Linked DNA regions of Arabidopsis thaliana. The protein of the gene in region 2 binds, or shares a complex with, the protein of the main gene of each other region. Each region holds a gene or a part of one and is shown on either strand. Other genes may lie near its edges.

Region 1 (5,800 bases), on a different chromosome or scaffold from region 2:
CTGTAATAACGCTAGATCGAATCAAGTTTACGTACAACAACTTGTTCGATAATTGATAATCTATAATTAAAAATGTTAATATTCTACTGAACGAGATTCTAAATCCAAAAGAATGAGACAAAGGAATTATCTTCGATCCACCAAAAAGATCAAGATGCTTATTTTTTTTTATTTTTTTTTGTCTATTGTTTGGTTGATTTATACTTTAATTAATCTTAAATTCAAAGGAATAATTTCATTATGCATGGCAAGAATTATGAAACGCATAGTGGTCTTACTTCAAAAATAAAATATTCAACATATTGAAGATAATTATTAAGAATCAAGTTAGTCAATGTAAAGTATCAAATAAGTAGCCAAAGGTAAGAAATAGATTGCTTATGGTTCTGTATAACTCAGAGTAGGTTTGTTTGGTTTGGACCGTAACTTTTTTTGAAAATAGTAATGTTAGACAAAGAGTAGAAGAAACGCAATATGATTTGATTGATTAGTGTAACCACAAGGTTAATAAATAGTATAAGTAATAATCAATTATTGAGACTAATCAACATTATAGTTCGGCGTAAGAGACACAATTACCCTAAAACATTTGAGACACTAATCATGCTTAGGGACTAAAAACATGAACATGAATTAATCAAAAGAGAAAAAAAAAACACAGATGATTCCAAAGCGTTTGTTGGCTAATCAAACTCATTAAAGCAGCCAAGAAAAGAAGAGGTTATGATTTGTTTGTGATTGCGATTAAAACAAACTAACACACTTAGTCTAACTGTTCCATACAAATACATAACCTTACACTAAACAAAAAAAAAAACAGGAACCTTTCAATTACATGGTGCAGTTTCTAAGTAGCTCAAGGGAGTGAGCACCAAGTATGAATCTCACTCAGCTCATAATTATTTTTTGCTTGAATCAATAGAGTAACCGTTCTTGATAGATGTCAAGTGCCTTGATAATTTTTCCGATGAACATCTTTCTGTGCATTCTATACTTAACCGCTGTTGCAAATGTTGTCCTTGCTTCTGACATTGAATCTGTCACAACAACAAGAGGGAAAGCTTAAGTTTTAGTATATGAGCGATAATAGATAATAACACATTGGTGTATATATCTTTAGTGTAATACCTAGCAACTTCTGGTCTTGCTCTGCTGTTGTGGGATATTCCGCAAGCATCTTTCGACATTCATCTTGCAATTCTTTAACTGCTTTTCTTTCCGCACTCGGTATTGGAGGAAGATCTATGTCTGACCAAGTAGGTAATGTTCTTGCTGCAGCGATAACTGCTCCATCAACAAAAGTATCGCCCCTCGATAACTCGCCTGCCACAGATTTAGGTAACATTGGTGCTCATTTCTCCATCTTTTGTCAAGGAATAGAGAGGAAACAGAAGAAAAGGAACTTACTGTCATGGTAATATTCTTCAGGAAGACCATAAATATTGAAGACCGATAAAAAGGAATTTAAATGGATGCGAGAATCTCCAGAGAACTTTATAGCATCCCACGGATTCTGCAGCAGACCAGAAAAACTGAATAAACGAGAAAACTTGCAAAGGAAACATAGTTTGTGTAAGATGAATGTGATTGTCGTAAAAAGCATTACCACAGGAGTTGAGAAGCCGTATCTTTCCATAAGCATGTTGTTTTTCTGGCCTGGCATGTAATTAATCGTCATCTGTGAAAAGCATTATAAGAAGATAGATAAAGCAGTGAAGTGAGGCTGACACTTAGGAACATTTGAGTCTCTTACCTCTTCGCCTTTCTTAATGTCTTGACCAGCATTTGACATAACCTCCAGCATGCGATCTTTAGGACGCCAATGTAGGAAACAGTTTGGTTCAAATGAGTGGTTTAGCATGTCTGCAGAGAATGATCAATCGTGAGATTCTTATTTAGTTCCTCAACAAAAAGTTCATTGATACTAAATCTTAATTTATCAATAACTACACAACATGCTCTTCCTTACCAGCATAAGGAATCATCATATTTAATTCCTGAACCAAAGCACCGACCCTAGTTTGCATACTGATGCATCGTGTCTGTGCCATACTAACCGCCCATATGAATCTTTCTGGATCCTCGGCAAGCCTTTTGATTTTGAGAGGAACACCTGAATGCTGAGACGGAATACAATTTGCCAATGAAAAACAAAGCAATAACCAAATGTCAAGATATACTGGAAACACATATATAAGGCCTCATTACCCAATTCTTTTCCCAAAAATCTAGGATTCGTTTCTGTTGTTGTCTGATAGTTGAAACAAGATCAGGATCTTGAAGCTCCGCAAGGTCTTCCTATAGAAAAACACACAGAATTAGATATCATCAAGCATTAGTTTAAAGACACAAGTAAATGTGACCAGTTTCAAATGGCAATCATATCAATTCAATCCACCTCTGTAGCTAAAAGCAAGCTGCTGCACTCATCAGCAGCCGGCAGGAAATCGCCATAGAGCCGCCAGAAGTGATCATCTCGATCAAAAGAGAATAACAGAAGACACGCTAATCTGATATCCCAATCAATCTGTAAGCACAAATGTGAAAGGACTTTGAGAAAGATAAGAACTTTCGAGTTGATGATATCGAAATAGCACAAATGTGTTACTACCTCAGGATCAGTCGAGTTAATGATATCGAAAATAGGATGACCAATTGGTACAATATCAGGGAAAAACATCCAAGGGTGCTTCTGTCTAATGGTTATCATCAGTTCAAGAGGAATCTCCATAATCACCTGCAGAGAGAAAAGAAAACAAAATAATCTAAAGAGAAGAACAAAACAAAAAGTTGTCAACTTTTTAACTAAGAAGACTGACTCTAGCTCGACGGCGAGGTTCGATATCCTTAGAAGCATAGACACCAAAACCATCTGGACCTTCTTTAAACTCAACTCCATAAGCTCTCACACTTCGAACATAGCCAATTTTGTAGAAATCCGGATCTGCTGTCTCCAGCTAGTGAAGAAACAAAAGACAAAAACCCTAAATCAATCTCACATATGAGGGAAATGCACAGAATTGTCTAAAGTTACTGCCGTTAGAACTCATTTGTACCCTACATCAATCTCACAGATGAGGGCAATGCACAAGATTGTCTAAAGTTTCTGCCTTAAGAAGTCCCCTATATCAATCTCACAGATGGAGGCAATGCACAGAATTGTCTAAAGTTACTGCCTTAAGAACTCATATGTACCCTAAATCAATATCACATATGGGGGCAATGAACAGAATTGTCTAAAGGTACTACCTTTAGAACTCATTTGTACTCTAAATCAATCTCCCAGATAGGGGCAATGCAAAGAATTGTCAAAGGTACTGCCTTTTAGAACTCTATAAACCCTAAAACACTCAAAACTGAAAATCCTAACCTCGGACGAGGAAGATTCTTCGGAAGCAGGAGATTGAAACAGAGGGAAAGGTTGTGTCTCAATAGACGCAACTTTGATGGGTCGTACACCATTTTGTCTGTCTCTTAATAAATTGCTTCTGGGTCTTGGTGCTGACACAATTCCGTTGCAGAAACCCTTTGTCCGACCGGAAAAAACATGAGGAGTACTCAGAAAATTCAGACAAAGACAGACACACACACACACACATGACATAGAAACATTAGGTGATACAGAGAGATAAGATTAAGAACCTGAGGTTTGGAGATAAAGGTGTTGGTCAGGAACTGAAGAGAGACTGAAGAAGCCATTCCTCAACAGAAGAAAATGGGTTTAGCAGAGGGAGACGAAGATCGTTATCCTTTGTTTTCAAGATTTTAACTCTTAGTTTACGATATAATTTATTTGGAATAATATGTTGCAAGAAGCTTTCATAGCTCAGTTGGTTAGAGCACCCGTTTAGTAAGCGGGAGGTCTTGAGTTCAACTCTCAATGAAAGCAATATTTGTTTTATTTTCTTCAAAAGTCTCTTTACATCCAAATTATTTATTTTTTTGCCATGAAAATATACACAACTCTATCTCACTCTTTTATTTTTACAGTATAATTCATATGTACATTAATTGATCTCAAACATTTCTTTGTGTATGACAGTTTTGGTTACTTTGGTCATATACTATTAGAGTGTAAAAGGCTCGGCTTCTGATGGAACTTCACGAGCTCTTTGGCTCTCAAGTGGCATATACTGTGACATGATCGTCATAATCTCTGAGTCCATGTAAGACTGTTAATAGGAACACCAAAGAAAAGTTAGTTTGGTAATCCTAAAACCGTTATTAAGTACAAAAATGCTTTTGTGGAATCAGAAAGAGTAGTAGTACCCTGAACCGGTATTTGTAGAATATATAACCAGCTAAACCGGCTACTGCAACGATAGCCAGTATCAAGAATGTGAGCCACCATGCCGTTTTGGATCCATATCTCTCTGTAACAAACAATCATCAATGTATATTAATTAGATACTGTTATGGAATTTGAGTACTCTTAAATCTTGATTGATAAAATTTTACCTATACAAGTATCTTGATCGTTTATGTAAAGCCGGTCACCAGAACAGCTGCATTTGTATCCACCCCATGAGTTCTTGCATCTGCAACCGCTACATTGACATACCGAACGCTCTTTACATTCGTTAATATCTGCAATAGAGCCAAATCAGAAAACATAATTACATTGTTGGTAATATGATTATGTGGTTTCTTTCGAGATTTTAATCGATAAGTTAAGAGTTATGTACCTTCACACGTCAAACCGTCGCCTTGGAAACCTTCAGGACATTTGCAGCCAGTAGATACAGAGTCCTAATTTTTCATAAATAACAAAGAGATGATTGAACTGAAAACAAGAACTTTGTAAGGGAGGGTTTGGCTTATGACAAGAGAATCACTAAACTGAGCAAGCAGAGAAAGTTAAGCCGTTCCTTGTGTCAGACCAGCAACCTCCATTGTTCATAGTACACCTCGCAGGCCCATAAGCTGCAAAGCTCAATCACAAACCAGAGACTATTCAAGAAACCGGTCTCAACATTTGAGAGCTATGTTGTGTGAAATGTGTGAACAACTTACGTGTACATGAAGTGTACCCGTCTCCTTTATATTGAACACCTTTTACAACCGGACACTCGCAGAGTCTTCCTCTGAATGTGTCCTGATCAAACAAAAAAGATTCAAGTATTATAGGACTAGAAAATATCTCTCTAGATTTTCACATTTTCTCTAGTTTTCAAAACAATTCCAAACAAATTGATACTGATATTCAATATAGTGGTGAGATGTGATGTGGTAAGCTCGGTTTTACGACATACTTGACAAGCAGTGATGTTTGCTTTTGTATCCTGCCAGCAACCACCATTGTTTTCAAGGCACTCATTTGTCTCTAGACCTGTGTTTAAGCAAATGGCAGGCTCCGATGTTTCATTAAAACCAGCGCATATCGCCTTTAAAACCGCGGTTCTCTCCAATCTCCCTTCACAATTGCAACCAATAACAACAGAAACTTCAGCATCTTCATAAAGAGAGAGTGAAACTGAAAAAATATCAAGTACCAAACCTCGATATTGAGCGTTATTGATGACTAATGTTGGCAATATCGTAACATCTCCCCGGTTTCCTCGGCCAATCTTGAAATAGTTACAGTTAGTAACCAAACCTCTGAAATGTTTCTTCAAAACTCTAAATAAAGATAGATTAAGAAACTAACCTGAGATACTTGCTCAGTTCTCAGAACTTGGTTCTCTGTATCAGCCTCAGGATCACCAATGCATTTCTTGATCTTCTCAATAGGTAAATCTGAAAAAAGTCTTAAAGATTCATAACCTAAACAAAGAAGACTCTCTTTCTTTAAAATCTAAAA
Region 2 (3,928 bases):
GAGAGAATCTGACTTAAGGATGAAGCTAGTGATACTAGTATCTTTCTTGCTCGTTCTCCCAATGTTTTCTTCAGGTATATAGATCTGATCAACTAACATATGCAAACTTATAGTAGCTTTAACATTTTATATAGGTCAATATAGAACTCCGAATTGAATAAATATGCTTCATATTTTTGTTAGGGATCGTTGAGACTTTGCATCATGACAACATCAACCGCAAGGTATTAACAATCACGGTTCTAAAAGCGTTATATATTTGATTACAAATATGCATCAAAACTAAAAACAAAAAGATATAAAACTTGTTGATTTAAAAAGGTTAAAGAGATGGTCATGAATGGAAGAAGAATCGATCTGGAGATGGACTACGCTGGGCCGCATCTAAGACCTCCCAAGCCATCCGACCCTACAATTCCAGGAACACAAGTACGTGCCCTATAGCAAAAATGAAGTATTACGAAAAGTGTCTTCCTTTTTTAATAGTGTATGAGTTTGGTTTTGAAAGGTTGATGAGGTTGTGACAAAGGAACCAACTGTCTATAACAAAGAAGACTATGGGGACTGGTCTCCAAGACCAATCCCAAAACGACCAATGCCATATGTACCTCCTCCTCCTCCTCCACCGACACGACGACCTCCTTTCACCACAAATCACTAGACCGTTACTTTTACTAAACTCTTGTCATTAGACTTTCGTCTTCATCTAGTAAATCTAAATAAATAAAATGAAATTTGGCCAAGAAAACAACAAAGCTGTGAATGCATTGATTTGGTTTTGGTAATACAAGAACAAAAGCTGTAAAGTACATTGACACTTTTTGTTATAATATATCAAGTGTAGTACTCCAACAAATAGCCAGGACCGGGTTTGTAAGGATCAGCTTCTACATAAGCCTCAGGGCGATCAAAGCCGAGATCGTTCACACGGTTGCTTAGAACATGAAAGATGGCTTTTTTGGAACCTCCATATTCGTCTCTGTTCTTGTCCACGTACTCTGTTGCTTCAGCTGCTACGCTATTGACAAATTCAAACCGATTGTCTTCCCTCAAAAGAAGCTGCTCTATGTCCATTGTCATTACCTTCCCAACTTCTCTTATCTTCCTTACTTGTTCTTCCACAAATGGAACTCTTTGCATTTTGTAACGCAACATATCGTCCTTCTTCGTCTACAGACAAAACAGGAGAACGACATAGAGAGATTAAAAGCGGGACAAATATAAACAAAGATTTTGCATTGTTCTGGCTTTGGTAATTATTGAAATCTCAAAACCTCATGAACCTGATAGGATCAAACAACAGAAACTGATAGTTTGTAGAATATAGTACAAGTAAAAAGATCACACTAATATTTTATGTAATGTGTAACTCCCACCTAAAAATCCCAGTATCTCAGATAAGACAATCTCCAATTTCTTGCATGTGCCATAGAGATAAGACCATGGTTACTTGAATATATATAAGTAAACACTAACTAGAGGTAAAAAGCCATGTTTCTTTAAGTTCATCAACAGTATAAGAACTAAAGCTAGCGTCTGAAATGAGCATAGTTCAACAAAGACACTTTTGAAACAGGTGTGTAAGCTAATTTGGAATCAAGAAGGGTAAACTAGAAATCGCAAAAACTCAGAGAAGACAATCTCCATCTCTCCTTCTATGCATCATATCAATTACTATGACTAAGTAAAGACTAACTAGAGTTAATAGTCATGCCTCATCAGTGAGTTAAAGCTAATCTGTGATCCTACTAAAAATTGCAACTTTTTAGAAATGTCGTCTCCAAGCAAAGAAAAACCCTTATTTTGATTCCTGATTCGACTTATGTCATAAACATGAAACTGGAAAATCACCAAAATATCAAGTTTAGTACTTACCAATGTTCTCCTCCGCCAAACACGGCGTCCATTATCATCTCTCTGAATCCCACAAGAAACCTGAAAAAATCAACCAGATTCACTCAAAACTCTCCCCCAAAAACCCACAAATTCGTATATATATCAACCATTCAAAACCTGAGACTGAAATGTGCATCGCAAATTCCCACTTCTCGTATCAATAATCTGAATATACAATAATTGAAAATGAGAAATCACATTGACATCAAAGGATGATTATGAGAGAAGCAAAGGAGGGATTTTTACAGGTAAAATCGAAGATGGAGAAGAACAGGTGAAGGAAGCCATTGATACACAGTGAATAGATAGAACCGGATCCTATTTTATATGTAAGCTTCTCCGGTTCGGTTTAATGGTTTATCTTTGGTTGTGTTCGTATTTGGACAAATCATTCCTAACCGAACCGGGCATTTTTTTTTCTCGTCATTTTATCTATACAATAATAATTCAACTTGCACAAAAAAAAAATCTAAAACAAATCAAAACTAACAACAAATCTAAAATCATATAATTTTACTTGGTACACAAAAATAATATTTTTCAGAAATCAATCAATCTAATAATAGTTAGTGGGAACCCTCTATTGTGACTTTGTGAGCTATGTATATACATAAGACATTACAAGATGGAACCTCAACATAGTTGATAAGCAAAGAAATTAACTCTATCGATCACCGGATGAGAAAATGGCTTCTAGGAATCATCTCTTAATATGTTGTGTTCTCTTAGCTATGATCATGATCGGGCATGCTCAAACCAACCGGAAACTTCTTGACGATAATGTACCATCATCTTATTTTCCATCGATGGAGTCTCGTCAGGTTTTTCTTCCTTCTTCTCATCGTTCACTTGTTGCTGAGCATTACGACAGATCACCACCTCCACCACCACCCAAAAGATCAGAAGTTGAACCCCAAACTGATGGTGTCTAGACCATTGAGTGATGGTGAGAATCGGCCCTGATGAAAAGACTCGTGAGTTGGTACCATGTTTTGAAAGAGCATACATATGTTTTGATGTTTGGTTTTATGATCCGGTTTATAAGAGCTACCTAATTTTTGAAGGCTTGGTTTGATTTAGTTTTCTTTGCTTTCTAAAGTAAAATCTCCGGAAAAGTTGTCTCTGTTTTTTTCTTCTTTATTTTTATCTGTATACGTGTACTTCATTCTTGGTGACAATAAATTTGACTTGTTTCAAATTAATTAATGTAATATTTGTAAATGGTAAGTTAATACAACAGAAAAGTCGATGATACTATCTTTTTGAATAGGTAGATTTACCGAACGAATACCACATTACCACGGCTTAAAAAAAAAAAAAGAAAAAAGGGAGGATTAGTCTCAAACATTCTTAATCAATTTCAAAAACTGGATAAATAAAAGCAAAAGTTTCAAAAACATAATTATTCTTGCAACAGTAATTGATGCAAAATATATATTAAACTGTCAAATAATATTTCGAGAACGAAATTGTATATATAAACTTGCTGTTAATTTGGTTAAAATCGGCAGTAAAATAATTCACAGCAAGTTTTACTACGCTTGTAAACAAAACTGCATTCACACTCTGACAGTCATAAGGTATACACAAAATCATAGAATCATGGACATATTTTGTAACACATATATTGACAATTTGACATTACGTAAATGCAATTAAAACTGGAATGTAATTTCCGGTTTACCAGTCAACATACAAAACCAGCTTTCGGTTTAATATTCGTCCAAATAAGTGTAGAGCGTATCGTCCTTCTTTGTTTTGCGTCGGCTAAGTAGCGCCTTTAGCAGCCGTTTGCTCTTGCTCGGTTGTTGTTGATGCTCTGGTTCTTTCTGAGCTTCTTTCTCGAACGCAACCCGAACCGAAGCCGATCTTCTTGGTTCTGACGGATACTGAGCCAGAAAATATCAAGAATCAACCGTTAGAGATAGAGCCTAGAAGTGAGTGTTTTTGAAATGTAACCGAAGCTTACCCGTTTAGGAGTTGGAGTTACCGCTCTACTCTTGCTCGGGGTTGTTGGCCGGCTGATTGATGA

The links.
Region 1: PTAC7 (region 2) and PTAC14 share a complex: the UniProt entries of both Arabidopsis thaliana proteins name them as parts of the transcriptionally active chromosome (TAC) complex.

The regions. Positions count from the first base shown.
Region 1 is NC_003075.7:10,876,813-10,882,612, reverse strand, and holds PTAC14 (plastid transcriptionally active 14), read right to left. Parts: upstream 3,797-5,800; 5' UTR 3,700-3,796; coding exon 3,643-3,699; intron 3,588-3,642; exon of another isoform or gene 3,527-3,587; coding exon 3,371-3,526; intron 2,958-3,370; coding exon 2,820-2,957; intron 2,773-2,819; exon of another isoform or gene 2,738-2,772; coding exon 2,612-2,737; intron 2,528-2,611; coding exon 2,399-2,527; intron 2,299-2,398; coding exon 2,209-2,298; intron 2,121-2,208; coding exon 1,970-2,120; intron 1,864-1,969; coding exon 1,754-1,863; intron 1,679-1,753; coding exon 1,607-1,678; intron 1,514-1,606; coding exon 1,408-1,513; intron 1,324-1,407; coding exon 1,129-1,323; intron 1,038-1,128; coding exon 916-1,037; 3' UTR 561-915; downstream 1-560. Other genes in the region: VSR7 (VACUOLAR SORTING RECEPTOR 7), read right to left, coding at 4,068-4,172, 4,270-4,373, 4,459-4,587, 4,686-4,749, 4,841-4,923, 5,014-5,095, 5,253-5,413, 5,498-5,567 and 1 more. UniProt on the Arabidopsis thaliana protein: Essential for chloroplast development, especially for thylakoid formation. Involved in plastid gene expression, probably by maintaining plastid-encoded RNA polymerase (PEP) activity.
Region 2 is NC_003076.8:8,276,006-8,279,933, reverse strand, and holds PTAC7 (plastid transcriptionally active7), read right to left. Parts: upstream 2,235-3,928; 5' UTR 2,185-2,234; coding exon 2,143-2,184; intron 2,062-2,142; coding exon 2,014-2,061; intron 1,936-2,013; coding exon 1,852-1,935; intron 1,171-1,851; coding exon 835-1,170; 3' UTR 740-834; downstream 1-739. Other genes in the region: AT5G24316 (proline-rich family protein), read left to right, coding at 1-74, 184-224, 322-429, 509-661; AT5G24313 (uncharacterized protein), read left to right, coding at 2,583-2,828; ABIL3 (ABL interactor-like protein 3), read right to left, coding at 3,609-3,785, 3,866-3,928. UniProt on the Arabidopsis thaliana protein: Essential for chloroplast development, especially for thylakoid formation. Involved in plastid gene expression, probably by maintaining plastid-encoded RNA polymerase (PEP) activity.